Cricetulus griseus: one gene and its partner. The protein of the gene in region 1 binds, or shares a complex with, the protein of each later gene. Links are inferred from orthologs where the notes say so. Each region holds a gene or a part of one and is shown in the gene's direction. Other genes may lie near its edges. The genes, in order: Dnajb1 and Nudc.

Region 1 (14,794 bases):
AAAACGATGGAATCTTGAAATTCGCAGGCAAATGGATGGAACTAGAAGAAACCATCCTGAGTGAGGTAACCCAGTCATAAAAAGGCAAACAGGGTATGACTCACTTATATATGGATTTTAGATCTAGAACAAGAAGTAGCAACCTACAATCCGCACCTCCAGAGAAGCTAGGAAACAAGGAGGACCCTAAGAGAGATACACATGTCCCCCCTGAGAAGGGGGAAGAGATAAGATCTCCTAAGCTAACTGGGAGCATGGGGGGAGGGGAGAGGGAGTTATAAGAGAAGGGGAGAAGAGGAGGGGTGAGGAGGACATGAGGGAGCAGGACAATCTAGTCAGGAGAAGAATAGAGGAGAGGAAGAAAAGAGATACCATAATAGAGGGAGCCATTATAGGTATAAAGAGAATTCTGGCACTAGGGAAATGTCCAGAGACCTACAAGTTTAACCCCTACTAACAATCTAAGCAGTGGTTGAGAGGCTATCTTAAATGTCCTTCCCAGATAATGAGATTGATGACTACCTGATATGCCATCCTAGAGCCTTCATCCAGTAGCTGATGGAAGCAGAAGCAGACACCCACAGCTAAACACTGATCTGAACTCCTGGAATCCAGCTGCAGAGAGGGAGGAGTGATGAGCAAAAGGGTCAAGACCAGGCTGGAGAAACCCACAGAAATAGCTGACCTGAACAAGTGGTTGTTCATGGACCCCAGACTGATAGCTGGGAAAGCAGCATAGGACTGTTCCAGACTCCCTGAACGAGGAGGTAAGTTTAGAGGTCTGGACAATCTAAGGGGACAATGGTAGTGGATCAGTATTTACCCCTAGTACACAAATGGACTTTGGGAGCCCTCTCCACATAGAGGGATACTCTCTCAGCACAGACACATTGGGGAGGGTCTAGGCCCTGCTCCAAATGATTTGACAGACTTTGAAGATCCCCCATGGGAGGCCTCACCCTCCCTGGGGAGCACAAAGGGGTTGGGATAGGGGATAGGTGGGGGGCAGGGGAGGAGGTGAGGGAGAGGGAACTGAGACTGACATGTAAAAGAAGCTTGTTTCTAATTTAAATTAAAAAAAGAAAAAAAAAACAACAAAGAAAATCAGTGGTGGAGTCCTTCCAGTAAAAGGCTTTGGGTTTGATTTCTGGCCCCACAAGCTTGAGGCAGAGGGAATTAGCTCAATAGAAGCAGGGAGCACACAGAAACTAGACGGTTCTCTCGTCTTCTCCTCCTGTCTCAGATCTAGAAGGTTAAGAAGTCCTTAAAGGTAGTTCCGATGACAGGGAGCAGGGTAGGACCAAGGTGTGTCAGTACACGTGAGCCATCCAACAGGACTGCTGAGAATTAAACTGAGTCCTCTTTGAGGACAGTATGTGCTGCTAACCACCGAGCCATCTCTCCAGCTCCCAGTTTGGGCTCAAGGTAATCTTGAACTTAGGATCCTCCAGACTCAATCTCCTAAGTAGCTAGATTGGCAGGAGTGAAGCTCCGTGCCTGGCTTCCTGCTTTGGATAAGTGTAGCTGGTGCTGGGAATCCCTTGTCAGCCTCATCTGGCTTCCCATACACAGCCCATCAGGAAATGATAGATCCAGTCCTGCATGGAGAATGGTCACTTTGTTCAAGCCTCTCACTGTGAGACAGCTTTGTCAGGTCCTGTCTGGAGACAGAGCTTCCAACTGTGCCCTTGCACACCTAGCACAGAGGCTGATTCATTCCTAATGACGGTGGGCACACCCATGATCACGTGCTGACTGACAGCATGCAGCAGAGCAGCAGGAGCAGCTGAGACACACATCAGTGACTCCTCTACCCTGAGTTTTGGAGAACTCGGTGGCAAGAATCTGACTTCAATAGAACATACCTCACAGTAAGGTAGGTGGTGAACTTCCTGGGACTGCCCCACACTGTTTCAGAGTATGTGATCCTGGCACAGAACTGTCTAATGGAGGCTATGAAGCCAGGCTTAGACATGTTAGAGCTGGTTAGTCACTTTCTGCTGTGTCAAGAGCTCTGAGAGATTCCCTAGTCCCACCCATCCCACCCACCTGTAATTCCAAGTAGTCTTGAGACTGAAACAGTAAGATTATAAATTCAAATTCAAAGTCTGCTGAGGGAGAGAGAGGGAAAGACACACACACACACACACACACACACACACACACAGAGAGAGAGAGAGAGAGAGAGAGAGAGAGAGAGAGAGAGAGAGAGAGAGAGAGAGAGAAGCTGGTTGGTGTGGCACAAACCTTTAATCCCAGCACTCAGGAGGCACAGGCAGGTTGATCTCTGTGAGTTCAAAGTCAGCCTTCTATAGAGTGAGTTCCAGCACAGTTATGGCTACACAGAGAAACCCTGTCCGGAAACAAAACAAGACAAAAAAGAAATTGTTTTAATCTTTAAAAACAATGAGACAGTATCTTTCACCCTCAAGAATCCCCGTGTAGGGATTTTCGGCAGTTTCCCTGTCCCTAGCAACTGCTGATCTACTCACATACTTTTGTGTTTTCTGGAAGGTCATAGAAAATAGAAGCACACAGCCTTTTGAGCCTGGTTTCTTTCACTGACATAATGCATGTGAAGTGCACTGGTATTGTTTTCTGTATTCATGGCTCTTTTCTTTTTATGGCTGAATAATATTCCATTGTGTAGACAGATTACAACTTGTATAGCTACTCAACAACATTCAAGTTCTATTGGTAATTATTCATAAAGCCTCAGTAAAAATAAAACAGTTTGTTACATAAATTTAAGTTTATTTAACTTTTTAAAATTATACTTACTTGGACTGGAAAGATGGCTCAGCTGCTAAAGGCTAAGCTCACAACCAAAAACATAAGATTATACTTGATTTGTGTGCACGACGTGGGAGGGGTGCACATGCCACAGTTTGCAGCTGGATAAAAGAACAACTGCAGGGAGTCAGTTCTCTCCTTCTGCCATGCCAAGTGGGTCCCAAGGATCAAACTCAGATCCTCCAGGCTTGGTGGCGAGAGTCCTTACCTGCTGAGCTGTCCTGCCAGCCTTTGAACATAGCGTTTTTGTTGTTTCTTCCTTGATTTTTTTGTTATTGGTGTTGTAGAGATTCTCCTGCTTCAACCTCTTTAGTGCTGAAATCAAAGCTATGTGCCACCATGCCCAATTTGAACATAGCTTTCTATTGCACACAGACTCTCCCTAGGAATGGCAGTGGTGACTAATGGAACTGCTATGTTTTTGGACATATCTGACAGACAGGTAAGGAGTTGAAGAGAACAATAGTAAAATTCTTTTTCTTTTTGTCTTTTTTGTATTTGTTTTTCTACACAGGGTTTCCCTGTATAGCCCTAGCTGTCCTAGAATTGACTTTGTAGACCAGGCTCAAACTCACAGAGATCTCCTGAATGCTGGGATTAAAGGCATGTGTCATCACCATCCAGCAGTAGCAAAATTCTTTAAGGCTTCACCAACATTTAACACATCACACACCAGTGCCCCCAGTAAGAGCTCAATACAGCAAGCTCATCAATGCTTTACTCTCTGTGGCCTGGGCTAGCTCTTATAACTTAAATTAACCCATTTCTATTCATCTATGTGCTGCTCTGAGGCTCATTTACCTCATCTACATAATTCCCATTCTGCTCCTCTGAGTCTCTAGGCATCTCCTCCTGACTCCCGACATCTTTCCCTCTTCTTCCCGGCATTCTCTCTGCCCTGGAAATCCTGCCTCGTCAATGGCCAATCGGCTTTTTATGAACATCGAGGGCAACACATTTCCACAGCACATTTGACTCTGCCTTACCTGAGGCAGCTGAGCTAGTCCTCTGAGCACCACCCACATGGCAACAACATGAGGTAAAATCTACTATCTCCATTTTATACCGTATAGACCATCTCCCCAGGATGCAGGCCTTGACTTTAGACTGCCAGGTCCAGATGTACCTGCCTAGCTCCTGGCTGAGGAAGACAATGTAGGGTATGAGGCTGGTGTGGTAGGTACACCTTTAATCCCAGTACTCAGGAGACAGAGGCAGGCAGATCTTAGGAGTCCCAGGCCATCTAAGGCTATATAGCAAGAAGTGTCAAAATACAAAAATAAATAAATAAAAATATTTTGTGTGTAGGGGTCAGCAAGATGGCTCCACAGGTAAAGGTACATGCTGCCAAGCCTTAAAGTCTAAATTCAATCTCTAGGAGACACATAATGGAAATAACTGACTCCAGATGGTAGGTGGTGGTGCACGACTTTACCCAGCATTTGGGAAGAAGAGACAGGCAGATCTCTGTGAGTCTGAGGCCACCCTGGTCTACAGAGTGAATCCCAGGACAGCCAGAGCAGTTACACAGAGAAACCCTGTCTCAAAAAAAAAAAAAAAAAACTGACTCCCAGAAGCTGTTCTCTGACCTCCATCCACATAGGCACCATACCAAGTTCACACACAATAAATGTAAGAACGATTTTAACAATATTCACTGTTCACTCGGGAGGAGGGCAGGGTGTGTGTGTGTGTGTGTGTGTGTGTGTGTGTGTGTGTATGTGCACAAATTTACGTGAATATGTATATGAAGGTCAGAGGGCTTAAGGTGTCATTCCTCAGGAGCGGTCCACCTTGGTTTTGTTTGTTGTTTGTTTGTTTGGCAGGATTTCTCTGTGTGGCCCTGGCTGTCCTAGAACCTGCTCTGAAGAAGAGGCAGGCCTTGAACTCAGAGATCTTCCTGCCACCACCTCCCAGCTTAAAATCCATTATTTAGCCCTATGTCTTTTTTGTTTGTTTTTTGAGGCAAGGTCTCACTATATAGCTCTAGTTGTCCTGGAATTCACTATGTAAACAAGGCTGGCCTGGTACTCAGAGATGCAAATGCCTCTGCCTCCCAGTGCTGGGATTAAGGGCATGTGTTACCACCACTAGGTGGTGTTAGTTTTCCACACCTGTTGTTTTTTTTTGGGGGGGGGGTGTTTGTTTTTTGTTTTTTTTTTTTTTTTTTTTTTTTTGGTTTTTCAAGACAGGGTTTCTCTGTGTAGCTTTGGAGCCTATCCTGGCACTCACTCTGAAGACCAGGCTGGCCTCGAATTCACAGAGATCCACCTGCCTCTGCCTCCCAAGTGCTGGGATTAAAGGCATGTGCCACCAACGCCCAGCTCCACACCTGTTTTTAAACCACTGAAACTTCCTGGTAGCAAGGTGGCAGGTGCTTGTCAGCTCAACACTAAGATTGAGGCAGGAGAATCCCAAGTTCAAGGCCAGCCTGGGCTACAAGTCCAAGACAAGACCTTGCCTAAAAAAATAAAAAATAAAAAAGTCACAGTAGTAACTAAAACACACCTTCAAAACTATGCCCCATCATTACTTAGAGAGCAGGACATTTCCAGCCTTGAGGTTGTCCCCAAACACAAACATTTCCTGTGCAAAATACGGTGGACTAGAAACCTTAGTGAGACCCAGCCAAGCCCCTCTAGAGGCACACCTGAATGTCCCCACTGAAGAATTCCTCATGCTCTGCGCTTTCCGGTAGGGGCAGCTCTTCTGTTCTTTATGGAATTTCTGTTTCTATTCACCTATTTTGAGGCAAGCTCTCACTCTGTAAACCATGCGGGCCTTACACAGTACCCCTCCTGTCGCAGCTTCCTGGTGCTGGGATTACAGGAATGTTCCACTGTGCCAGCTCTCTTGTTATTTCTCTAGGTAACATTGAATATTTCCAAGTGACTGGTTCAGGACATCCTCTGTTGAGCTAAAGGATCCCCTAGTCCCAATTCCATTTTGGGGGCAGGGGCTCAACTGTGTTTAGACAGAGCCCTTTTCAGTTCTCTTGGGGTCAGTGTGGTCAGGAAAACCAGAACACACACATCCGGATAGACCACCAAGAGAAGGCTAAGGTCATCTTTCTCACAGGTCTCGGGCTGTCCAACGCAAGGTTCAGCAGAGGCTCAGACGCTGCAGGGCTGCCAGAGAGGAGGTGTCAGCGTCATCCACTAAACAAGACAATTAGTCATCCCTTTGTCCCTGGTTTTTCTTGAGCACTTTCACAGATGCTGAGTAACGTCAACTTCCTATATACAGCGGCCATTCCGATTTCATAAGTGAGCACGACTGAGGCCAGAACGGCTACTTTACCAATTCAAGGTCACACAGCCAGGAAGTACTAGGATCTGGAACGAAGCCTACTCTCTCTGGCTACAGAGTCAAGGCTCGTGCTCTGACTTCCAGGTAGTTTCTCTCCCTGCAGGAACCAAAACCGACTACCCCCGCTTCTCTAAGCCTGGCAGTTTCAGAAGCTCTCTCCCCTTTGCTCTCAGCTGTGTCCTTGACCGCCATCATCCAAGACTTAAAAACCCAAAGAGTCAATTAACAGAGGTGCTCTGTTCCCCCACAGCAAGAAGCGCCCACGTCAAAGCATTCGGAAATATTTACGAAGCACCTAGTGGGTCCTGAAAAAGATGCACAGCCACGAAGCAAAATCCAATGTCTGCCCTGGTGGTGAACTCAGACAGCAAAGTGAGTGACATCTACCCGGAACGCCAAGAACCCGGCTAATTCCTCAGCAGGAAGTAAGGAAGCCTGAGTACCCGGACTGGGGCGATCCCTCGCCAGACCAGCCTCACCTCGCTTTACAGTAACGGCCTGTACGGAGCAACCGGCAGGAGAGGGTGGGGTGCGGACTTTTATCCCTGGGTGACAGCAGAGGGAACTTGGAGGGACGGGTCGGGCAGCTACAAGTCACCGGGCAGGACCGCCCAGCCGGTCTTCACCTAGGGACAGGGTGCGGCTTCGGAAGAGACCCGCCTCTGTAGCCCCGCCCCCTCCCCACGTCGTCACCAGTCGGCAGTGAGAGCGGGCCGCGATTGGCTGTCTCCACTGCGGAGGCGGGACCTCAGGCAGGGGCGCGCGCGCCCCAGGGAGGCGTTGACCAGGGTAGAGCGGGAAGGGGCGTGGCCTCGCGCGGAAGGCCGTTGGCTGCCGGGTCCCACCCCGGATGTTCTGCGTCACGGAGCGGCCGGCAGCGATTGGCCCGAGTGGCGCGGCGCGCCGGGAGGGGCGGAAGGTTCTGGAGGGCTGGCGGGATCTGGAAGCTTCCGCCGGACGGGTATATAGAGTCCGGGACAGGGCAGCTGCGGAGCCGGAGGCGGCGACAGCTGGGCGGCGGTGGCCATGGGCAAGGACTATTACCAGACGCTGGGCTTGGCCCGCGGCGCGTCCGACGACGAGATCAAGCGAGCCTACCGCCGCCAGGCGCTGCGCTACCACCCCGACAAGAACAAGGAGCCCGGCGCCGAGGAGAAGTTCAAGGAGATCGCCGAGGCCTACGACGTGCTCAGCGACCCGCGCAAGCGCGAGATTTTCGACCGCTACGGAGAAGAAGGTACGCGTGCGCGCGGCCGGGGGTGACCCGCCGTTTGACAGGCAGGGAAACCGAGGCACTCGGGGCCTCTCTGAGGCCTCGGCCCCGCATCGACGGCCCGGGGATCCGGCGGCGGTGCCGCCTCCGCCCTCTGATCGGCGGCCTCAGCCGGGAGGAGGAGCTTTGGGCGCGCCCGCCGCTCACACAGAAGCTTCTAGCACGTCTGCCGCAGCCCCTCCCGGCCGGCGGGCCGGCCGCCTGCACAGCGCCCGAACGCTGCAGACGGAGGGCGGCGGTCGCGATCGCTAGGGTGTGAGATTTTGAAAATCGCCCGAGTGTTTGTTCCTCTGGGCCCGCTAACCCGCAGGCTCAGCGCTTAACCCAGAGTTGAGCTGAGCCTTTCTGGCCGCAGTGCGTAGGAACTTCTCTGTAAGGTGTTACAGCATGGCAGAGAGGATGGGGCTGTCAAGTAGACCTGGTGGCGCCGACAGCTGCAGGCCTTACTACCGAATTGTCACGAAGTGAAAGGGAGTAATGTGTTTCCTGCTCCTGCTGCCATTGGCAGTTAAAGACTTGAGATTCACCTAGAACAAACTTAAAAATACATATAACCCCTCCCACTACGGTTCCCAGGGCTTTTTTTATTAAAAGCAAAACTTGTTGAGCCAGGTGCGGGAGCTCACACACCCCACTTTGGAGGCTGAAGCATTGTTGTGAATTTGCTTCAAATCTGAGCTACAGAATGAGCTCCTGTTTCCAAAAGAGCAGGATGTAGTGACAATCCCAGGTCTGGTATGTCTGAGTCAGGAGGATTGCCTCTAGGCTAACCTGGACTATTCAGCAAGTTCAAGGGCTATATAACATGACAGTCACCGGATCGCACTGTGTAGTTCAGGCTTTTATTTTTACTTCTATATATATGGGTACGTGTATGTATGTATGTTCACTGTGTACTTGCTTCGAGAGAAGAGGATGTTGAATCCCCTGGAATTGGAGTTAGTTGTCTGCTGTTGTGTGGGAGTTGATAATCGAACATGGTTCCTCTGCCATAGGAGCAAGTGCTCTTAACTTCTGAGCCGTCCCCAATGCCTCGTGTTGGAGTCCTGGCTGGTCTGGAACTTGCAGAGATCAACCTGCTCCTGTCTTCGGAGTGCTGGGTTTCCAAGCATTCGACACCATGTCTGGGCTTTCTATTTTAAGGATTTTATGGGTTTGTTGGTGGGATTTTTTTGTTTGTTTGTTTTGTTTTTTTCCCCCGAGACAGGGTTTCTCTGTAGCTTTGGAGCCTATCCTGGCACTCGATCTGGAGACCAGGCTGACCTCGAACTCACAGAAATCCACCTGCCTCTGCCTCCCGAGTGCTGGGATTAAAGGCATACACCACCCAACGCCAGGCTTGATTTTGTTTTGTAAATGTGTTAATTTATTGCAGTGCTAGAAATGGAAACCAAGGGCCTTGACTCTCCTACAGTAACTCTGATTTCTGATTTTGTTTTCCAGGCCTAAAGGGTGGTGGCCCCAGTGGCGGTAGCAGTGGCGGTGCTAATGGTACCTCCTTCAGCTACACATTCCATGGAGACCCTCATGCCATGTTTGCTGAGTTCTTTGGTGGCAGAAACCCCTTTGATACCTTTTTTGGGCAGCGCAACGGGGAAGAAGGCATGGACATCGATGACCCATTCTCGGGCTTTCCAATGGGTATGGGTGGCTTCACCAATGTGAACTTTGGACGTGCCCGCCCTGCCCAAGAGCCTGCCCGAAAGAAGCAAGATCCCCCAGTCACCCACGATCTCCGGGTCTCCCTTGAAGAGATCTACAGCGGCTGTACCAAGAAAATGAAAATCTCCCACAAGCGGCTGAACCCCGATGGAAAGAGCATTCGAAATGAAGATAAGATCCTGACCATTGAAGTGAAGAGGGGCTGGAAAGAAGGGACCAAAATCACCTTTCCCAAGGAAGGGGACCAGACTTCCAACAACATTCCAGCTGACATCGTCTTTGTTTTAAAGGACAAGCCACACAATATCTTCAAGAGAGATGGTTCTGATGTCATCTATCCAGCCAGGATTAGCCTTCGGGAGGTAAGGCACTAGGTGGGAGAATCATGAAAGGAGATGACTGCTCTGAGGAGCAGTGGGGGAGACTGGCTGGAGCTCAGCTGCATGGGTCTGGTGGACCTGAACCTTCTCTCTGGATGTTGGAGGAGTCAAGCTTCCTAAGCCAGCTTCCATCTAACATAGTCCTTTTGCTTTCCTAGGCTCTCTGTGGTTGCACTGTAAATGTCCCCACTCTGGACGGCAGGACCATCCCTGTTGTATTCAAAGATGTCATCAGGCCCGGCATGCGGCGGAAAGTTCCTGGAGAAGGCCTCCCTCTCCCCAAGACACCTGAGAAACGTGGGGACCTTGTTATCGAATTTGAAGTCATCTTCCCCGAAAGGATTCCCCTGACATCCAGAACCGTCCTGGAGCAGGTTCTTCCCATATAGCCACCTGCATTCTCCAAGGACTGAGCCAGGGACTTTTCCAGAGCTGCAGATTTCCGGACCGTTCACTGGTTGCATACTGCGGGAGGGCCCAGGGAGGGCTTTTGCTCTGCCGAATGTTTTCCACAGAATATATTACAATCTTTCAAAGTCGCTCACTAGACTACAGTGATTTTTTGAGTGATAGGCAGGCGGTGGGAACAACAGCCCTCCTGGAATGGACCCACCCTCTGCATCCCAGCTCCTGCCCAAGGGTGTGAGGCAGGCCTGCAACTGGACTCGCCCCCATTGCTGTCCTTTAGTTTCTGGCTCTCATGTGGCAGTGACCACCATCTCAGTTGCCAGACCTTGTGCACTAGTCAGTCTCCACTGTGTGAGAGGTTCTTGTTTTATTCTGTATTTGTCCCATGCCTTGTTGTTCCTCCCCAGAAGAATCCTGTCTTGTCTTGGCCATCTCAAATTGAGACTAGTTCAATAGGACTGCCAGGCCAGCATCACAAGCAATACCTGGTTACAGGACCACATGGCCAGCCTCAGGTGAGCAAGTCTCACTGCCACCTCCCTCCGGGTTTGGGACCTGGACAGCCAGGAGAGTCCCTGAACCTCTGCTCTGTTGAAATCAGGTAGTTGACTTATGGTCACAGTATTTGTTGGTCCAAAGGTAGTCCTTGGCCGTAGCTGGGACTTCTCAGAGGCCTGGGTGATTTTTTTTTTTTTGTGTAATAGACTCTGAACTCTCTCAAAAGGATATAATCCTTTTGAATTTTGCACAGCCCTAGATATAATCCCTTTATATAAAAGGGTCTTTGCTTCTGATGAAAGGAGCCCTGTGAAACGTCTGTAAATATGTTTTTATAATTCCATTCAAAGCTGGTGTGCGCCCAGATGAAAGCAGTCCCTGTCAACTACTACTGTCTGTCCAGGGCTGTGATGGAGTCAGCCCTTGGGAGTGAAGGGGTCTGTTCTTTGAAGCTAGCCCGGTGCTCTGGCATTCGACTCATTGTAAGTTGCCACTACCAACACGAGACCAAAGTGTGTGACTTGTCATTCTGCAGTGTGACAGCATTAAAGACTGATGGCAAACCTCAGGGGAGCAGTCCTTCGACTCTGTTTGAGGGCTTTGCTGGGGAGGGGCGGCATGGTGAGAGTCCTCGTCCTCCAAAGAAAGCTGTTTCCCTCCCGGGAAATTGGGTAGGGGCCTGCTCTGAGCACATTTTCTGTCTCGAAAGGCCTCTGGCCACATGTGGGCACTTAGTAACCAGCAGGGCTAAGGATTAAAGCTCCACCTGCCCAAATCCCAACTAGGCCTGGCTAAACCAGGCCTAGGATGCTAGACTAACTGCTTGGAGCTGGCCCAGGGTCTGTTCTGTGGGAAGTGAGGAAAAAACCCACTCCTGTCCCAACCTTATTTATGTGGGTATCCTAGGACCTTAAATTACTTTAAAGAGCTAGGTTGATTATAAAGCAAGTAGGACATAGGCTTAAAGGAGTGTGTTGGGTTTCTTGCTGTATTTTAGTGGTGCTGGTAACAGAACCCAGGTTTTTGTCCTCTTAAGCTGACTGCAGCCACAGGCCATGCTGCAGACTGCTCAAAAGTAAACCTTGTTTTTAAAAAAATTATAGCATTGCATAGAAAGTTCATTTAAGAGCCAGGTGTAGTAGCACACTTCTGTAAAGTCAGCTCTGAGGGTTACAAAGACTTGGAAATGTGACTAAGCCACAATAGAATATGGGTCCAGCCCATGCAAATCCACCTTCTGCAGGATGTCCCTGTGAACTTGGTAGGGAAGTATGTGCACGGACATACTGTTTTAGAAACCCACAAACAGCATGGCCAACAACCTGGGGAGTGGGAGATTTGGGGGGGGGGGAACATACTGTTATTAGGGCCCAGGGCACATGTATTAGCAGTATGAAGCACTGGTATATATGAGTGAGGCCCTGGGTTATAGCCCCACACCTCAAACCCCTTAACATGGCCTGAGAAGGGAACAGGGCCTGCCCTGAGCCTGGGGTTCCCTTCCTATTACACGAGGGCACCAAAGAAATTGTTTTTTGTGTGTTCAAGAAAGTGCCTGTGAGGGTTAGTTAACAGCACTTGCTTTTGTATAGGACCCTGGTTCAGTTTCAGCACCCACATATAACTAGTTCCATGGGATCTGATACCCTCTTCTGGTTTCAGGCATCAAACATGCACATGATAAACATACTCCATGCAGGCAAAGCACTTTTACATATCAATAAATCTAAGGCCTCACAAGTCTGTGCCTGTGCTTTGTACATTTTCAGTTTCCTTTCTTGGCTGCCATTAGCACACTATGAAACTGGACAGGACTCACAGAGTGAAACTCATCCCCCCACTGTCAGGTGTTCTGTTTTCTCGGGGCCTCTGAGATGCTGCACAGAATGCCTATCTCTGAAGCATTGCTTTCCCCCTTCCTATGGCATAGCAGGGCAAGAGCTGCTTCATTCCCAATACTTCCATCTCTGTCTCATTAGCTCTAACTGGGATGGGGGAGTTGTAAAGACCCAGTTAATGGACGACTTTTGCCTCCAGCTTGAATTTTTGCTTCCAGGTCTGCATTCCAGGATAGTGGGAAATTACCAATACGGAGTCAGGTAGAAATATAAGGGTATTTAATAGGGAAAAGCCTTACTTACAGAGCGACCTAGCCAGCTGGTGGGTCAGCAGCCTGTACAGCAAGTACCAAAGAGCAACCGAAACCGCAAAAGCAGTCACACTACGTCACTCTGACCACGCCCTCACAAGCCTGGTCAGGCACACCTGTAGCCAGCCCCTAAGAAGGCGTGGCTACAGCTTCCCCTACAATTCCCCTTTTAGTCTAAAAGAGGATTAAAACTTAACAGTATAAAGTATCCAAAATTAACAATCATAAAGGTAAAATATAAGAAGATACAACAATCTGCTTATGTCACCTCCTAACTATGTTAACTAAACCCTACAGTCATCTGAGAGAGGTGTCCAAGCCTGAACACCTCCTTCTCCAGCTTGATCTTTTTCAAGCAGTATGATGTTGGGCAAGGAAACCAACCTCATTATGCCAGTGTTTGAACTGTGAAATGGGTATAATAATAGGACTTTTTTTTCTGAGCATGATGTCTTATAGTAAGCAAGGTCAAAGCCAGCCTATGACTGGTTTTTAGACCCTGTCTCAAAAAAACTAAAAAGTCAGCCTGGAAAGTTAAGGTGTCTCAGTGGTCAAAAGCCATAAGTTTGTAGAAAGCCCAAGTTTGGTTTCCAGCACTCAGGTCAGGTGCCTTGCAGGGGATCTATGGCCCTCTCTGGCCTCTGGGGGCAACTGTGTTAGCATGTGCAAACCCATACAGACATATACAGAACACACTAATAATTTAAAAAGTAAAAAGGGGCTAGGTATAGTGATGCACACCTTTGATCCCAGTACTTGGCAGAGCCAGGTGGATCTCTGAGTATGAAACCAGCAACCTACAGAGTGAGTTCCTTAGTGAGCTACATAGTGAGACACCTGGCCCCCGGGGGTGGGGATGGAGGAGAAAGGTTGAGTGTGTAGCTTAGCAATTGAGTGCTTGCCCAGCATGCACAAGGACCTGAGTTCCATTCCCTGTACTGCAAAAGTATAAAGACATGCAACTACCTCTCTTCTAGGTATGTAAGGGTTTCCAGATACGTAAATGGTACACACACCAGGCACATACTGACACAGAACAGTATTGTATGTCAGCTCCACCCATAACACCTTCCCAATGACAGACAAGTCTGTCCTGGATTAGTACCGTTGCCAATTCCCAGGAACCAAACCCAGGTGTATCGATGACCTCAGCAGAGGTCTGCTGAAGCAGATGCCACAGCTAAAGTAGACCTGCTCCCTTGTCACCTAAATAGGCACCAAGACTGGACGACCCTAGCTCCAGCACTCTGTTTCTGTGTGGTGTGGATAAGTGATTTCACCTCTCTGATCCTCTCAGTAATCTTTGAAAAATGGAAAAAGTGACTGGGTATGATGACAGATCCCTGAATCCCAGCACTCTGGAGGCAGGGGCCAGCCTGGTCTGCATATCCAGGCCAGCCAGGGCTGTATAGTGAGACCATCTTTTAAAAGAGCAAGGAAACACTGCAGAGATGGCTCAGTGGTTAAGAGCACTGGCTGTTCTGGAGGATTCAGGTTTGATTCTCAGCACCCACATGGTAGCTCACAACCAGCTATGACTCTTAGTTACAGGCTTGGTAGATCTGGCCTCAGTGGGCACCAGGCATGCACCTGGTGCACAGACATACAGGCAAGCAAAACAGCCGATGTTCAGGGTCCCAAAGGAAGAAACCACCACTCCAAAAACTGGACAAGACAGTCTTCTTGACTAAGAGGGTCAGCTCAGAAAAGAGGGGAAGTGCTCTTGGTTTTATTCTCACTCTGTGTGACTTTTCCCTATTGGTTGGGGTCCAACCTCACAATTTTATCCCACTGGCTAGTCGGAAAAGACTTAGTTACTGGAAATGAAGGAGGAAAGGGACAGGAGTCATTGCTTCCGACCATCAAATTCCTGGGACGAAGCAGGCTGCCTTTGTATAAACAAAGGTTTTACCAGGTGAGAGCTGGGAGCTGTGGGTTCAGCCAGAGACCCTGATGGAGATGGTAGAGAAAACAATGTCAGCTTGCGGCCTTCACACTTACACACAGGTCCATACACGTACACATTGAAACACACACACCACATGCAAAAGGAAAACCCCGCAGAACTCCAGTCCCAATGTTCATCATCTGGAGCACAAAGGACACCCTTAGCTACATAATGAGACCATCTTGTTATGGGATATCCACCAGAGAAGACTACTCAGACACAGGTTCAAGGCAATAGGAAGTCTTTATTAGCTGCCTGGCTACTACACTGGGTGTTTAGGACCATGATACAGCCCTGAGCCTTTCTCAGGATGAGCTTTTAAGCACAAAATCCACATCCTAGGTTGACACATCTCAGTTAACAAGAGTAGTTAG
Region 2 (15,115 bases), on another chromosome or scaffold:
ACTTGAGGGGCTTTTCATCGGGCCAGGGGCACCTCTGTCCAATCTATGCCTGACTCTCTGGACTGAAGAAAAATGTACAAGCTTCTAACCCAAATCTGTAATTTTTGCTAGAACTCAAAGATATAAATATATTTCTGTCATTCTACAAATACCCAATATCTGCTTTTTCTGCAATGTGGATTTCAATACAGATTGATAATGATAAAATGTCTAAAACTTCTATGTCCTATTATATAATAAAATTCATATAGGCTTCAGAGGATCAAAAAGTCATAAAGCTTGGATCCACTTCTCATAGGTAAAAAAAAGGACTCCAGATAAGTACAACTTTTTTAATCCCATCTATTTGTTCCTGAGGATGGGATTTTCTCCCTTGTCTTGGAACTCCTGTCCTTCTTGATCACTAAAAATATGGGCCTAGAGTTCCAATGAGATATATAAGTTTTAACTTCTGTTCCCAGTTTAAACATGTCTCAACAGGTTTCCACTTCTGGCAGACGAATATCAGTTGCTGACTACAGCCTGCTCCTAAAGACTGCAAGCCCTAGACTTGCTGTGGATGTGGACCAGTCCAGCTGATATGGACACCCTTTGTCTCTGCAAAAGAGTCTGCCAACCAGAAGCTCCTGATGGATTCCCCATTGCCTAAATTCCCTTTTTTTTTGCTTTTGACTAGCATTTCAGCTTTCTTGGGTCCCTAACTTTGTCCCAAAGTCAGCAGGAAGTAGTATAGAAAAAAATACGCCACCCATTTTCCCTGGTTAAAATGCTAAGTCAAAAAAAAACTCCCTTACATGAGGAAATGCCAATATCTCTCACTCCCTGATGGGGACTCGAGATGACAGCCGGGGTCGGCACTGGAACCGCAGCACTGGTCCAGGGACCCCACCACTATAATGAGCTAAAAACAGCCATAGATAAAGATATTAAAGCCATAAAAGGATCCGTCACTAAATTAGAGAAGTCTTTGGCTTCTCTAGCAGAAGTTGCCCTCCAGAATCTTAGGGGACTTGATCTCCTTTTCCTTAAGGAAGGCGGGCTCTAAGCTGCCCTAAAAGAGGAGTGCTGTTTCTATGTTAGCCATTCTGGAGTTATTGGGGATTCCATGGCCAAGCTCAGAGAAAGACTCAACCAGCGGTAAAAGGAACGGGAGTCCCTACAAGGCTGGTTAAAAGGATGGTTTAACAGCTCCCCTTGGCTCACTACCCTAATCTCCCCCTAGTTCTTAATCAACAATATCAGGCTCTCAGGCAATAAGAAGGACCATAAGTTTTAGAATTAAAACCTCACCAAAAAAAAAAAAATGGGGGAATGAAAGATTTTAGTTTGCTGAGAGAAAAAGTTTTGAAAGATTTTAGTTCACAGAGAGAAAGTTCCCACAGGCCTCGGCCCATTACAAGGCAGTTGGCCCCAACCCCGGCACATCCTATGGTTTAGACGGGGGCAATCGCCAAGACAACCCTCTTTGGGTCACACCTGACTGGCCAACAGACAATCAAGGACTTTTCAGGGTACGTTCTGTGGTTTTTCCTTTGTAGAAAAGCAGGTCACACCTGGGTGACCACTCTAACATGAGATCATTCTTTGTAATCAATCACTTTGTGCCCCTTGCCTGTATGCTGATCTGCGGTTTTTTCCTATATAAATAAGGAGCTTGCATCCCATGCTGGGGTGCGCAGCTTTCCCGATATTGCTGACACCCGAATGCGCATTCGTTCAATAAACCCTCTTGCTTTTGCAGCTCTTGGTCTGGTTTCTGAGTCTCGGGGGCTCCTCGGGATCCTGAGGCCCTTAGGGGTCTGGGGTCTTTCACTATCACACCTGCGTGCTGGCTGCTGCTGCTGCTTTTAAATTTAATTTATTGCATATGATGACTGCTGGCAAAATAAAAAATAAAATCAATATTTTTGTGTGTATGAACTGGAGTTAGTTTTACCTTCCACTTTATGTGGGTTCCAGAGATTGAACTCAGGCTTGTCCAGGGGAACTGCCTTGATCTGCTGATCCATCTCGCTTAATCATTTTTAAAATGCTTTTTTTTTAATTTGGGGCTATAGAGATGGCACAAAGATTAAGATCACTGACTGTTCTTCCAGAGGTCCTGAGTTCAATTCCCAGAAACCACATGGTGGCTTACAACCATCTGTAATGAGATCTGCTGCCCTCTTCTGTCCTGCAGGAATACATGCAGGAAGAGCACTGTATACATAACAAATAAATCTTAAAAAAAAAAAAGAAAAAAAAAAAGCTGGGCAGTGGTGGCACATACCTTTAATTCCAGCACTCAGGAGGCAGAGGCAGTTGGATCTCTGGGCGTTCAAGGCTAGCCTGGTCTACAGAGCTTGTTCCAGGACAGCTGGGACTGTTATACAGAGAAACCCTGTCTTGAAAAAAAAAAAAAAAAGTCTGAACAAGCCAGTAAGCAGCTCCCCTCCATGGCCTCTGTGTCAGCTCCTGCCTCCAGGTTCCTGTCCTGACTTCCTTTGATGATGAACAGCAATCTGGAAGTGTAAGTCAAATAAACACTTTACTGCCCAACTTGCTTTTGGTCATGGGGTTTCATCATAGCAATAGGAACCCTAAATAAGGCACATTGTATGTCCTAGAACTCTGTAGATCAAGAGGGCCTTGAACTCATAGAATCCACTCACCTCTGTCTCCTAAGTGTTGAGATTAAAGGCACGTGCCACTGTGTCTGATTAAAAAATTATGGTGCTGTGCATATGGATATCAGAGGATAACTTCTGGAAGTTAATTCTCTTCTTGCACTGTGCGGATGCTGGGGGTTGAACTCACATCATTAGGCTTGGCCACAAGTGCCTTTACTTGCTGAGCCACCTCACACTAGCCCAGTGTGTGCATTTATATGGGTTTGAATTCATGGACTCCCATCCAGTAGCTGATATAGTGATACTGTCATTATTTATACTCATGAGCAGATGATCATGCTGTCACCAATTTGGCAACTAGAAGCCTGGTTACCGTGCCTGTGCCGTGGTGTCCATGTCCTCTTGATCTGCCATGTTGTCCTGTGAATATACCTTTGTTTTCTGCTATAAAAGACACAAGTCTTCAAGTTCCTCCAATCAGCCAGTATTCCAGTCTGACTCTGGCATGGGAGTGTAGTTATGGAGGGAGCTTGCCTACCATATACAAGGCCCTGGCTTCTGTAACATGAATAATTTAAGACCCAGAGACAGATATTGGGGTTCAAGCTTCAAGCTGGAGACCAGAGAAGCAAAGGTACCAGCCATTAGCTATTACCTGTCTCCATGACTCTCCAGAGACAATGCTATCTCCATGAATCCTCAGAGGCAAAAGCTCTGTGTTCCTGTGTCCTCCTGCCTTATATTCCTTTCTCTGCCCAGCCAGATCACTCCTGTCTCCACCTCTCTAGTTATGGGATCAAAGGAGTGATCTCTGTTACTCTTCACTCTTGTGTAAGTCAGGGTGGCCTTGAACTCAGAGAGATCTATCTGCCTGTCTCCTGAGTCCTGGGATTAAAAGGTGTGTGTCACCATCATTGCCTGATCTCTATGACTTGTGACTAGCTTTGCTTTCTGAACCCTTCAGGCAATCCTTAATACATCATAAACAATATATCATCACAGGCTTCTATGCTCAACCAGAGTAAGGGGGGGTTAGAAAGAATAATGCAGAAAGAACAAAACCCAGAACAATCCTATATTGGATGGGAATTGATCATGTGATGTGATGTGTGTGTGTGTGTGTGTGTGTGTGTGTGTGTGTGTGTGTGTTGTGTAGAAAATGAATGTAGAGGAGATGGTTCATCAGTCAGTGCACTCCATATTTTTTTTAAAGATTTATTTTGTATACAGTCTTCTGCCTGCATGTCAGCCTGCAGGCCAGAAGAGGGCACCAGATCTCATTACAGATGGGATCCACACCCCCATGTGGATGCTGGGAATTGAACTCAGGACCTCTGGAAGAGCAGCCAGTGCTCTTAACCTCTGAGCCATCTCTCCAGCCCCTTCAATACTCTTGTAGAGCACCAAGGTTCAGTTCTCAGTACCCACATGGCAGCTCACAACCAAACATCAATAACTCCAGTTCCAGGGGATCCAACAGCGCCAGACACTGCATACACATGGTGCACAGACATCCATGCAGGCAACACACACACACACACACACACACACACACACACACAGACACACACACACAATCTACAGCTGGGTGGTGGTGGCACACACCTTTAATCTCAGCACTTGGGAGGCAGAGGCAGGAGGATCTCTGTGAGTTCGAGACCAGCCTGGTCTACAGAGTGAATTGCAGGACAGCTAGTGCTGTTACACACAGAAAGTCTGTCCTGAAAAACCAAAAAAAAAAAAAAAAAAAAAAAAAAAAAAAAATCTAAAAAATTTAAAAACGAAATAAAAATTATTTCTAAGCCTCACAGAAACTGCTTCGACAGTGCTTCCCCTTGTCTGTGGGGCTCAAAGTAGATGTGATATACCTGGTGCACTCAGGCACTACCTGAGTAGTTCTTTGGAAGAAGGAGTTGAGAAGGTGGAGCCTCTGCCAGGCTGGAAGCTAAGTGTATGGAGAGATCACTAGGAACCTGTACCTCTGACCACGCCCATTTGGTTGTGGTCACAAGAATGTACAAGGAGTGAGGAATAAAGAAAGGGCTGAGAGAGAGGTCACAAGCTGTCTCTTGGGTTTGGTTTGGGTCGCAGAGAGCAACTGAGCTTGATCCTCGGAGCTGGAACTTGGGGTTTATCAGTTTCTCCCAGAATAAAATTAACCTTTATTTTACATCCACACTATGGGGAGCTGTATTTCCTGTGCCGTGGATATGATCTTAAGGCCAGATGTCATTTCTCGAATCCCTAGAGGGGGGAGAAAAGGCTGTGGCTAGGATTGCTATAGTCCAGGGCCTGTCTGGAGCCACTTGCTCAGAAAAGTCCAGGGCTTCTGTCTTAGGGTTTCTATTGCTGTGATGAAATACCGTGACCAAAAGCAAAAATGGGAGGAAAAGGCTTATTTGGCTTACACTTCCATATCTAAGGAAGTAAGGACACGAACTCTCAAGTAGGGCAGGAACCTGGAGGCAGGAGCTAATGTAGAGGCCATGGAGGGACGCTGCTTACTGGTTTGCTCCTCATGGCTTGCTCAACCTACTTTCTATAGAACTCAGGACTACCTGGCCAGGATGGTGTCATTCTTAACGGGCTAGGCCCTCCCCCATCAATCACTAATTAAGAAAATGTCCTACAGGTTTACCTCTGTGGGCTCTTTTTGTTTTGTTTTGTTTTGTTTTGTTGTTTTTGAGACAGGGTTTCTCTTGTACTGGTGTGTGCCACCAACGCCCGTCTGGAATTCTTAACTTTTCTGTTCTTTGGCTTTGGAGTCTGTCCTGGAACTAGCTGTTGTAGACCAGGCTGCTCTTGAACTCACAAAGATCCACCTGCCTCTGCCTCCCTGAGTGCTGGGATTAAAGGCGTGCACCACCAACGCCTGGCCCCCTCTGTGGGCTCTTAAGGAGGCATTTTCTCAATCGAGGCTCCCTCCTATCTGAGGATTCTAGCTTGTGTCAAGTTCACATAAAACTAACCAGTACATCTTCTAACTGGCAGATGACACAGGCCAGCCTTCAGAGACCTGAGTCTGACAGGGGAGATGAGTCCTGCTCTTTGGGAGTGTTTAGCTGAGGTTCAACCCCTCTGAGTCCCTATTCCATGGAGAGAGATACAGCCAGGCTCTCAGTAAATGTTTGGTAATAATCTTCCAACAGTATAGCACTTCCAGGTTTACAAAGTAAAAAATAAATGCACACTCGAGGGTGGGGGGGGGGCTCTTAAGGGGATACACATGGGCTATCTCAGTGCTTGGAGATGAAGACAGGTGGACCAGTACAAGGCCGTCCTTGCCTTCAGTACGCCATCCCTGTCACAGCAAAACAAATCAAGCCATCACCATCACTCCAACCACCAAAACAAAGAACAGAAAAGTTAAGAATTCCAGACAGGGGCGTTGGTGGCTCACACCTTTAATTCCAGCACTTGGGAGGTAGAGGCAGGTGGATCTCTGTGAGTTCGAGGCCAGCCCGCTCTCCAGAGTGAGGGCCAGGATAGGCTCCAAAGCTACACAGAGAAACCCTGTCTCGAAAAAAAACAAAAAAAACAAAAACAACAAAAAAAAAAGTTCCAGACGGCAGGGGAAGAGCATTAATCCAAGTGCAAACAGTTTCTAAGCCTGGGCTTTATGCAAACTACAGTTTTGTGCACTCTTCCAAAAGCCTGGTCCTGGATGACGGAGTCAGTTGTCCCTTTCGGGAGCGCTTTCTTGCTGGGTCTCAACTGTCGCTCGCAGCTGAAGGTACTGCTTAATCAAAACTTCTCCTAACTTCCAGCCCTATCAAGATGCGAGCTCAGAGCTTTCTAGAAGGCTCCTCCCGGGTATCTGGTGACCATAGCAACTCAAGCCAAACTCTGCGGCCGCAAGTCCCGCCCACCGCTTTGGGGTCGCGACTGTTGATTTGCTCCTCCCGTTAGCCAATGACCGGTGAAGCGGGCTGCGTTCCGGGAGCGCAATGGCCACCGATGGGCTGGGAGGCGGGAAGAGAGCAGGGAAGGGCGGACCCGGGAGGCCGGGGCCGTGCGTGTTTCCGGCTCCGCTGCGGAAGGCCGGCCAGGGGGACCGTTGGGCCCGACGCGAACCGTGCGGAGCGCGGGCATCGCCGAGCGCGAGTGCAGAGCTCGCAGTGCAGCGCGATGGGCGGGGAGCAGGAGGAGGAGCGCTTCGACGGCATGCTGCTGGCCATGGCGCAGCAGCACGAGGGCGGCGTGCAGGAGGTAAGCGGCGTGGCCCGCGCCCCAGCCCTTCTCCGCCCTGGATCGCCCAGACCTCCCCCACCCCGGCCGCGCGGGTCCCCGAGGCCCCGCGGGCTGCCCTCGCGCCCCAGCTTCCGGTCCGCCCACCCCGCGAGCCGCCAGCGCCCCGCAGCCGGCCCCCGAGGGCAATTTCGTGGTCCCAGAGTGACCCCAGAGCTTCGGCATCCACTCTGCGCCCCACGCGGGCTTCTGCTGGCCTTGTAATGGTTGCGACTCTCCCGGACGTGATTTCCATCTTAGCCACAAGCGCAGGCAGCCTCCCTGTCTGTCACCTATCGCTCATTGCACGCAGGGGAGTGAGAACCGCGTGAGGTCAGCACGTGGCCCCCTTAAGCTTGAATCGGGGAAGTGAACCGCAGACCTCTCCGTTCCCTTCTGCTGGGTTAAGCGCCCCGCACCACCTAGCCTCAGTTGTCTAGTCTGTGAGGTGAAATTTAGAAATGCCACATCTTGGGTTTTGCTTTTGTTTTTTGACTCAGGGTCTTTGCTGTGTACCCCTGGTTTGCCCAGAACTTGTTATATAGACCAAGGTGGATTTAGGGTCGTCCTCCCGCCTTTGCCTTCCGAGTGCTGAGATTCAGGTGTGTGCCTAGTTTTCTTGAGTTTAGGAAAGTCTTTCAAAGGGAAAGACCAAGTTCATAATAATAAGGTTTGTTCATCAGGTGTTTGTCATTATCTTGGTACCTGACATAGAAGACTGGTCCTGAGGATGCAGACACAGCCGGAGACCAGGCATTGCCTTCATGAAGTTACTGATATATAAAGAGAACTTCTTGCATGCATATATATTATTTTGGAGCCAGGTGTGCCTTTAATACCAGCACTCGGGAGGCAGAGGCAGGAGGATCTCTGTGAGCTCGAGGCCAGTCTGGTCTACAAAGCTATACAGAGAAACCCTGTCTCAAAAAAATCAAAAAGCAACTTTGGGAGGAAAGGTTTATTTCACTTACTGTTCCATATAATGGTTCATCATCAAAAGCAGTGAGGACAGGAACCCAGGACAGGAGCTGATGCAGAGGCTATGGAGGATGCTGCTTGCTTCCTGTGTTGGCCCTCGTGGCTTACTCAGCCTGCTTTTTTATAGAATTTAGAACCACCAGCTCAGGGGGTGGCACCGCCCACAATGGCTGGGCCCTCCCACATCAGTCAGTAATTAAGAAAATGCAGGCTTGCCTATAGTTTTATTTATTTATTTATTTATTTATTGTTTTTCGAGACAGGGTTTCTCTGTATTGCTTTGGAGCCTGTCCTGGAACTCTGTGAACCAGGTCGGCTTTGAACTCACAGAGATCTGCCTGCCTCTGCCTCCTGAGTCCTAGGATTAAAGTCGAGGGCCACCAATGCCCAGCAGCCTATATCTAATCTTATGCAGGCATTTTGTCAACAGAGGCTTTCTCCTCATGTGACTTTAGCTGTGTCAGGTCACTACAATTCCAAGTCATTTTATCTAGGTGGTTATGTTGTTCAAGGACTTCTGAATCTCTTGAAGGGGCAGAATGTGTCAAATCTGCAAATGTCCTAAACTGACATAATATGGATCTGGGAGTGAGTTCACTTTCTGTTTTAATACATTTAAAGTGCCTAGAAGTAGGGATTGCACACAATGGGCTAAATTCTCCTGTCAAATTTAGAACCATAGATGAACCTTGAAGACATTTATGAATTAAGTCATATAAGAAAGGACAAACACCTTTAATCCCAGCACTCAGGAAGCAGAGGCAGGCAGATCTCTGAGTTCGAGGCCAGCCTGGTCTCCAGAGAGAGTGCCAGGATAGGCTCCAAAGCTACACAGAGAAACCCTGTCTTGAAAAACCCCCCAAAAAAAAGAAAGAAAGAAAGAAAGAAAGAAAGAAAGGACAAACACTGCCGTCAGTGGTGGCGCATGGTTTTAGTCCCAGCACTCAGGAGGCAGAGGCAGGAGGATCTCTGAGTTTGAGGCCAGCCTGATCTACAGAGTGAATTACAGGACAGCCAGAGCTACACAGAGAAATCCTGGCTCAAAACAACTACCAAAGGCTGAAAATGTAAGTGGAAAGTCTGATAACAGAACCTTCCGAACATTACAGCTTAGCAATATAGTGCAATGTAGGGTATTGGTGGTTTGCTTTTGTGGTGTAGTATCGGACTGGGAGCTGACTCTGGCTGCCTAGGGTTGCAGGACACCATCTGTACACATAGTCCAAGAAAGACCAAATAGATTCTATTTCTACTTGGTGCATGCTGCTGTTGTACCAAGATGAAGTCTAAGCCCTAAGGTACCTACCATCATCAGCTGGTGACCCTCTGTACTCTGAGCCATGGCTCCTGAGTCTTATGTACGAAGAGTCTGCCATTCTCTAGCCCATCTCCCTTTCTGTGCCAGACACTCACTGCCAAGGGTTTACTGTGTAGAGAAAGAGTCCTAGCATTCATTGTGCTCAGCTTCTCGAGGATACCATATGACCATCTGCCCCAAGTTTCTCTTCAGCTCTTCTGTCTGTGATGGACCAAATCCTGGACTATAAACCAAAATAGACCCTTTCTCCCTACAGTGACTTTCTGTGGTGTTCCGATGTCCCATGTCCCCCGCTTCCCCATTTCTCTGTGTTATAGCCCCAGCTATCCTGGATGGCCTCGAACTCCGTAAGATCTGCCTGCCTCTGCTTCCCAGGTGCTGACAGCAAAGATTCATGTTACTGTCACCCTGCTTTTCTCAGGTTTCCATTTTTTAAAAAATACTTATTTTTGTTTTATATATATTGGTGTTTTGCCTGCATGCATGTCTGTGTGAGGGTATCAGATCTTGGAGTTATAGACAGTTGTTAGCTGCCATGTGGGTGCTGGGAATTGAACTCAGGTCCTCTAGAAGAACAGCCAGTGCTCTTAACCACTGAGCCATCTCTCCAGCCCCCAGGTTTTCCATTTTTGCTTTTAGTAACAGCAACAGGAAAAAACTAAAACAACACTGGGAAATAAAAGTACTCTGCTCTTTTGAGACAGAGTCTCACCAGAGAGCTGAACCAGACCAGAAGTAAACCCATGATCCTCCTGCCTCAGCTTCCTGAATTTCGGGCTTCTCAGGAACTGAAGGGACTTGGTGGAGAGGCTGGCTGTTAGGTGGGAGCTTCAGAAGTAAAGATTCAAATTGAGATTCTCTCTTAAACTGAAACTTTGTCTGCAGCTGAGGCCCCACGCTGAGCCCCAGGCCTCAGTTTCCACCCCTGTCTTTCAGCTTGTGAACACCTTCTTCAGCTTCCTTCGACGCAAAACGGACTTTTTCGTTGGAGGAGAAGAGGGGATGGCAGAGAAGGTGAGTGCTGGGGACTCCTTTTCCTTGGGTGGATCTGTTGCTGGGAGACAAGCCTGGCCTGGCTCGTCTAAGCAGGAGCAGGACGCCAGCAGGATGGGGGCTTGGAAGGGGAATGAGCTGTCACCCAGGACCCACTCTTGGAATGGTCCTTTGTCCATGAACTTCCTGTGGCTCTTGAGTAGTTTCATGGGTGTCAGCCGTCCCCATTTGATGGGTGAGGAAGTTCACTCAGGGGTGTTTTACACTCTGCAGAGTCCTGAGCGGAACTGTAGAAACACCATGGAGACTGTCTGCTGTAGGTTTGCTTTCTGTCTCCGAATCACCCTCCACCCCACAGGGTTTTTGCCAATTACCTGGCTGGAGATGAGTAGACAGACATTACATTTGGAGGCCAGCCTGTGCTACACAGTGAATTCAGAACTGTGGTATGTGTCGCCATCACAAAAAAGAAAGCAAAAATTTAAAAAATCACGCAGCAGTCCAGGCCTGTCATTTCAGCACTTAGGAGATGGTGGCTCAGGGCCATCCTTGGCTGTATAGTCTACTGGGCTACATCATTAGACCCTTGTCAGACAACTCTACTCCCCCTTTCCGCCAGGATACAACGAGCTCCTACCTGGGACTCACTTGAACAGCTTCCATCAGAAAGACAAGAAAAGCTGTGTGTGATGGTGCTACACAGGGTTACTGTGGAGGCTGAGGCAGGAGGGTGGCTTAAGTCTGCAAGTTCGAGACCAGCTGGTACACTTGAAAAGTGACAAAGACGTGCAGAAGTTGGGATCACTGGGCACAGCCAGAGGGGATGTCAGGTGGCTCATCTACTATGGCAAAGAGCCTGGAGTCACCTGGAGAATAAAAATAGAATCACCGTGCCCAGCAGTTCCATTTCTGGGCACGATAGGGAAGATTCGGTTGCACATGCCTCCATTTCTGGTGACAAACATTATTCAGAATAAGCAGGAGGTGGGCGGGGCTGGAAGAGAAGGCTGTGTGGGAGGGCTGGCCGCAGCTGCTCCCAGCACCCGAATCAGGTAGCTCACAGTTGCATGTAGCCAGCTTCCTGGGATCTGACGCCCTCGCCCAGCCTTCTTGCCCACTTGGACTCGGTTGTGAACACCAGCTCAGAGATGCGGATGCGCATAAGTAGGGTTTTTTTTTTTTTTTTTTTTAAACTTGTTTTTGTTTTTCGAGATGAGGTTTCGCTCTGTAGACCAGGTTGGCCTCAAACTCAGATCCACCAGCCTTTGCTTCCCGAGTGCTGGGATTAAAGGCGTGCACCACCATGCCCAGCATGAGATCTTAAACTAAAAGCCCACTGGGGAGTGGCTTGTAAGATCCAGCCTCAGTTCTCGCTGAGTCTTCCTAGCAGTCTACCAGTCCTGAGCTATGAGATGGGATTCTAACAGACAGGTCTATCAAGTCTATCAAGATTCTTCCTATCAAGATCCATCCGCTTGGAAGTACCAAGGACTTAGGAGTTTTGTGCCGGGAACCTGGGACAAAGACTTGGTTTCTTTACTGTAGCTCACGTCCACCTTGCGGGTGCAGGGTTTCTTTTTCTTCCCTAGAACTACACTGTAGATAGACAGAAGTGGTTTCTCTCTGGCGCTGTCAGTTCTTGGTCATGCCTATACCTATGGACCTATCATTGTTCTACCTCTTTCCTTTATCTGGAGAAGCTTCCCATCACTCACTCTTTGCTTCTGTGCAGGAAGAGCCCATGTTTCTGCTTTCAGAATAATTACTAGTATGTTTTCAAGGTGACTCACGAGGTGGGTTTTTTCTCTACTCATTGCCGGGCGTGGCGGCGCACGCCTTTAATTTCAGCACTCGGGAGGCAGAGGCAGGCGCATCTCTGTGAGTTTGAGACTAGCCTGGTCTACAAGAGCTAGTTCCAGGACAGCCTCCAAAGCCACAGGGAAACCCTGTGTCGAAAAACCAAAAAAAAAAATCTCATGGGCTTGAGTAAACATGTTCCAGGGTTGTTACCAAGTCAATCAAGAGGGATATCTGTTACAGGACACAGGCTTGTTTTGCTTTTGATCCTAGCATGAGCCTCCCTATCAGGCCCCGTGTAAACTGCTGTCAACTTCCATCTTGGGAGTTTGTCAGGCTATTGTCACCTTCTTCCCTGATTCCCTCTACCTAGCTTACTTAGGTTAGCCTTCCCTGCTTCCTTTGTTTATAAATGTTTGAATAGATATACTTCCTAGTTAGCAGCTTAATGAAAGGTGTTTTGTACTGCCGGGTGGTTGTGGTGCATTCCTTTAATCCCAGCACTTGGGAGGCAGAGGCAGGCAGAGCTCTGTGTGTTCGAGACCAGCTGGTGTACAAGAGCGAGTTCTAGGACAGGCTCCAAAGCTACACAGGGAAACCCAGTCTCAAAAAAAAAAAAAAAGAGGTGTCTTGTAAAATTCCCCTGCGTTCAGAAAAATGGTTGAACTGCTACAAAGAGAGGTATCATCTGTCTCTGGAGGGCATGGGCATAGTCGTCATGATGCCACTCAAGTGAGGAGGTGCTGATGGCAGGGTGAGGTGCAGGTCAGGGGCCTTGTTCTTCACAAGACAGGGAATTTGACTTGGTAAGAAACAAAAGGTGCCCTGAAAGCCACCTCAATGGGGCAGGGCTAGCCCTGGACCAAACAAGGCTGTCCCAAGTAAAGGAAGCAACAATAGTAAATGAAGAGCTGTGGAAGTTACTAAAAGAAAAAGTTGCATGAACACACACACAAACGCACGCACGCACGCACGCTCGCTCGCTCGCTTTGCAGGCCAGATAGAAGGACCTGGGCAGAGGCTGAGCGCATAGGCTGCGTGCTAGGAAGTAGTGGGCCATTCTGTGTAAGGCTGGTACCAGGTGGGTCTTCATGGGTGACTATTTGCTCTGGCCTTGGTCACTTGGATGACAGTTATCACTCAAAATGAGGAGCTTCCTAGGAGAAAGTTGCTGGGGTACTGGTTTGTGGGGTGTGGGAGTGTAGCAAGCTTCCTTGTCTGACTATCTTTGGATTGGCAGCCTCCAAGTAAGGACACAGAGACTTAATATTAATTCTGAAAGCTTGGCCTTAGCTTAGGCTTTTCCTTAAGTAGCTCTTAAAACTAACTTAAATGAACCTGTCTGTATTAATCTACATTTGTCATGTGGCTCAGTCACTTCTGCTCTGTACCGTGTGTCCAACTTAAGAGTTTCCCTGGCATCTCCCTGCCTCTCCTTCCTAGAATTCTCTCCGCAGAATTGCTGCATATTCTCTCCTGCCTAGCTATTGGAAATTCAGCTCTTTATTAAACCAATCACAATGACACGTCTTCAGTGTACAAATATCCCACAACAGGTAAGGGTGGAGAGAAGCCATGTTGGTTCTGCCTGTTCCTTAGGTAAAGGCTGCTGGCTCTGTATCTCTCCCATCCCAACTCTAGGCATATCCTTGCTGAGAAATCTGGGGCCTGTGGGGCAACTTGAAAGTTGAGAAAGGGCAGGAGCCAGGTATGCGGCTCTAACACAATCTGGGAAAGGGAGACAGATGGTGGGGTAGGCAGGGCCAAAAGACAGAATCAACAGGACACTGTCTCCCTGAGCACCCTGACCAGATGATGCATCCCTCTGTGGTCCACTGCTACCCTGAGTAACCTGAGCATCCCTCTGTGGTCCACTGCTACCCTGAGCATCCCTCTGTGGTCCTTTGCTTGTCAAGTGTTACTAACCCTGAGAGTGATCAAGGTCAGGCTCTCGGCCTTTCTTTGGGTTAGGCATAAGTGGCTCTGCAGTGTGCCCTTCCAGACTAGGAACCATTCTTATCCCCATCAGTTCTGTTAAGAAAACACCTGTGTTCGCCGGGCGTTGGTGGCGCACGCCTTTAATCCCAGCACTTGGGAGGCAGAGGCAGGCGGATCTCTCTGAGTTCGAGACCAGCCTGGTCTACAAGAGCTAGTTCCAGGATAGGCTCCAAAGCCACAGAGAAACCCTACCTCAACCCCCCCCAAAAAAAAAAAAAAAAAAGAAAAAAGAAAAAACACCTGTGTTCAACCCACCAGGTCCAGAATACCTCACTCTGTCCCGCCTGCCAGCCTGTGGCTCCTAACCCTGTGTCAGTGGCTGAAGCTTGACTCGAGACCTCTACAACCTCTGCTGCATAGGCCACCTCTAGCCTATGGTGGGAGGGGACTGGCAAGAAGGGTCAGAGGCTGTTCTGGTTGGCTTTGACATTGCCTGGTGGCTCGTGTCTGTCCTCTTTTAACCTCCAGTGGCTAGGAAGTAATAGGACAAGTGGATTGTGACATGATTTATGGGGCTAGAAGAGGGAGGGCCCTGTTCCTGTCCCTCCTTGGCCAGTGATTGTCAAATGGCTTGAGTTCAAGGTCCCCCTGATTAGAAACTGGGGACAAGGCCCTTTGGTGGAACAGTCTCTTGCAGTTGCTTCATGACCTGTTTCTCTCCTCAGCAGCATGGCCTCTGAGTTCCTTGTTTCTTTCACTCCCATTATTACTCCTTTTTAAAGAAATAGTTTACTTATTTTATTTTATATGTATTGGTGTTTTGCCTGCATGTATGTCTGTATGTGGCAATCAGATTTCCTGGAACAGTTGTTACAGACAGCTATGAGCTGTAACGTGGGTGCTGGGAATTGAAATCTGGATCCTATAGAAGAGTAGCGAGTGCTCTTGACCACTGAGCCATCTCTCCAACCCCCGTCATTACTCTTAAGCTTGCTGGCACTGTGGTGTCTTCTTTGCTTGCAAAGTCTGAAGCTATCTCAGTGAGGCATGGGGCTGGGGATTGGAAGGGAGGGTCACAGATGAATGAGTCTGGGGACATTTGACAGAACCTTGGGTATAGGAGACTTCTGTGACTGCGCCTCCTTCCAGCTTAGGTGCAGACGTGCTTGGAATATGGTTCATTGAGCACTGATCACGGGGTGGTTGCCCTGGGGACTCCTTAGGTATGCACTTTGTATGAAGTGTGGGTGGCCAC

Evidence for each region.
Region 2: the proteins of Dnajb1 (region 1) and Nudc are in contact, whole or in part, in a crystal structure (PDB 7NDX), measured with the Homo sapiens proteins. The link is inferred for Cricetulus griseus from reciprocal best matches to the Homo sapiens genes DNAJB1 and NUDC. Residues at the interface, in NP_006136.1 of Homo sapiens: His166, Lys181, Lys182, Met183, Lys184, Ile185, Ser186, Asp201, Lys202, Ile203, Ile235, Phe237; in NP_006591.1 of Homo sapiens: Pro102, Gln103, Ile104, Lys105, Glu106, Leu107, Ala112, Leu115, Gln116, Ile119.

Annotation. Positions count from the first base shown.
Region 1 is NC_048596.1:160,781,347-160,796,140, reverse strand, and holds Dnajb1 (dnaJ homolog subfamily B member 1), read left to right. Parts: upstream 1-7,025; 5' UTR 7,026-7,128; coding exon 7,129-7,339; intron 7,340-8,818; coding exon 8,819-9,399; intron 9,400-9,575; coding exon 9,576-9,806; 3' UTR 9,807-10,891; downstream 10,892-14,794. UniProt on the Homo sapiens protein: Interacts with HSP70 and can stimulate its ATPase activity. Stimulates the association between HSC70 and HIP. Negatively regulates heat shock-induced HSF1 transcriptional activity during the attenuation and recovery phase period of the heat shock response.
Region 2 is NC_048595.1:19,717,877-19,732,991, forward strand, and holds the start of Nudc (nuclear migration protein nudC), read left to right. Parts: upstream 1-6,634; 5' UTR 6,635-6,737; coding exon 6,738-6,818; intron 6,819-7,807; exon of another isoform or gene 7,808-7,917; intron 7,918-10,068; coding exon 10,069-10,146; intron 10,147-15,115. UniProt on the Homo sapiens protein: Plays a role in neurogenesis and neuronal migration. Necessary for correct formation of mitotic spindles and chromosome separation during mitosis. Necessary for cytokinesis and cell proliferation.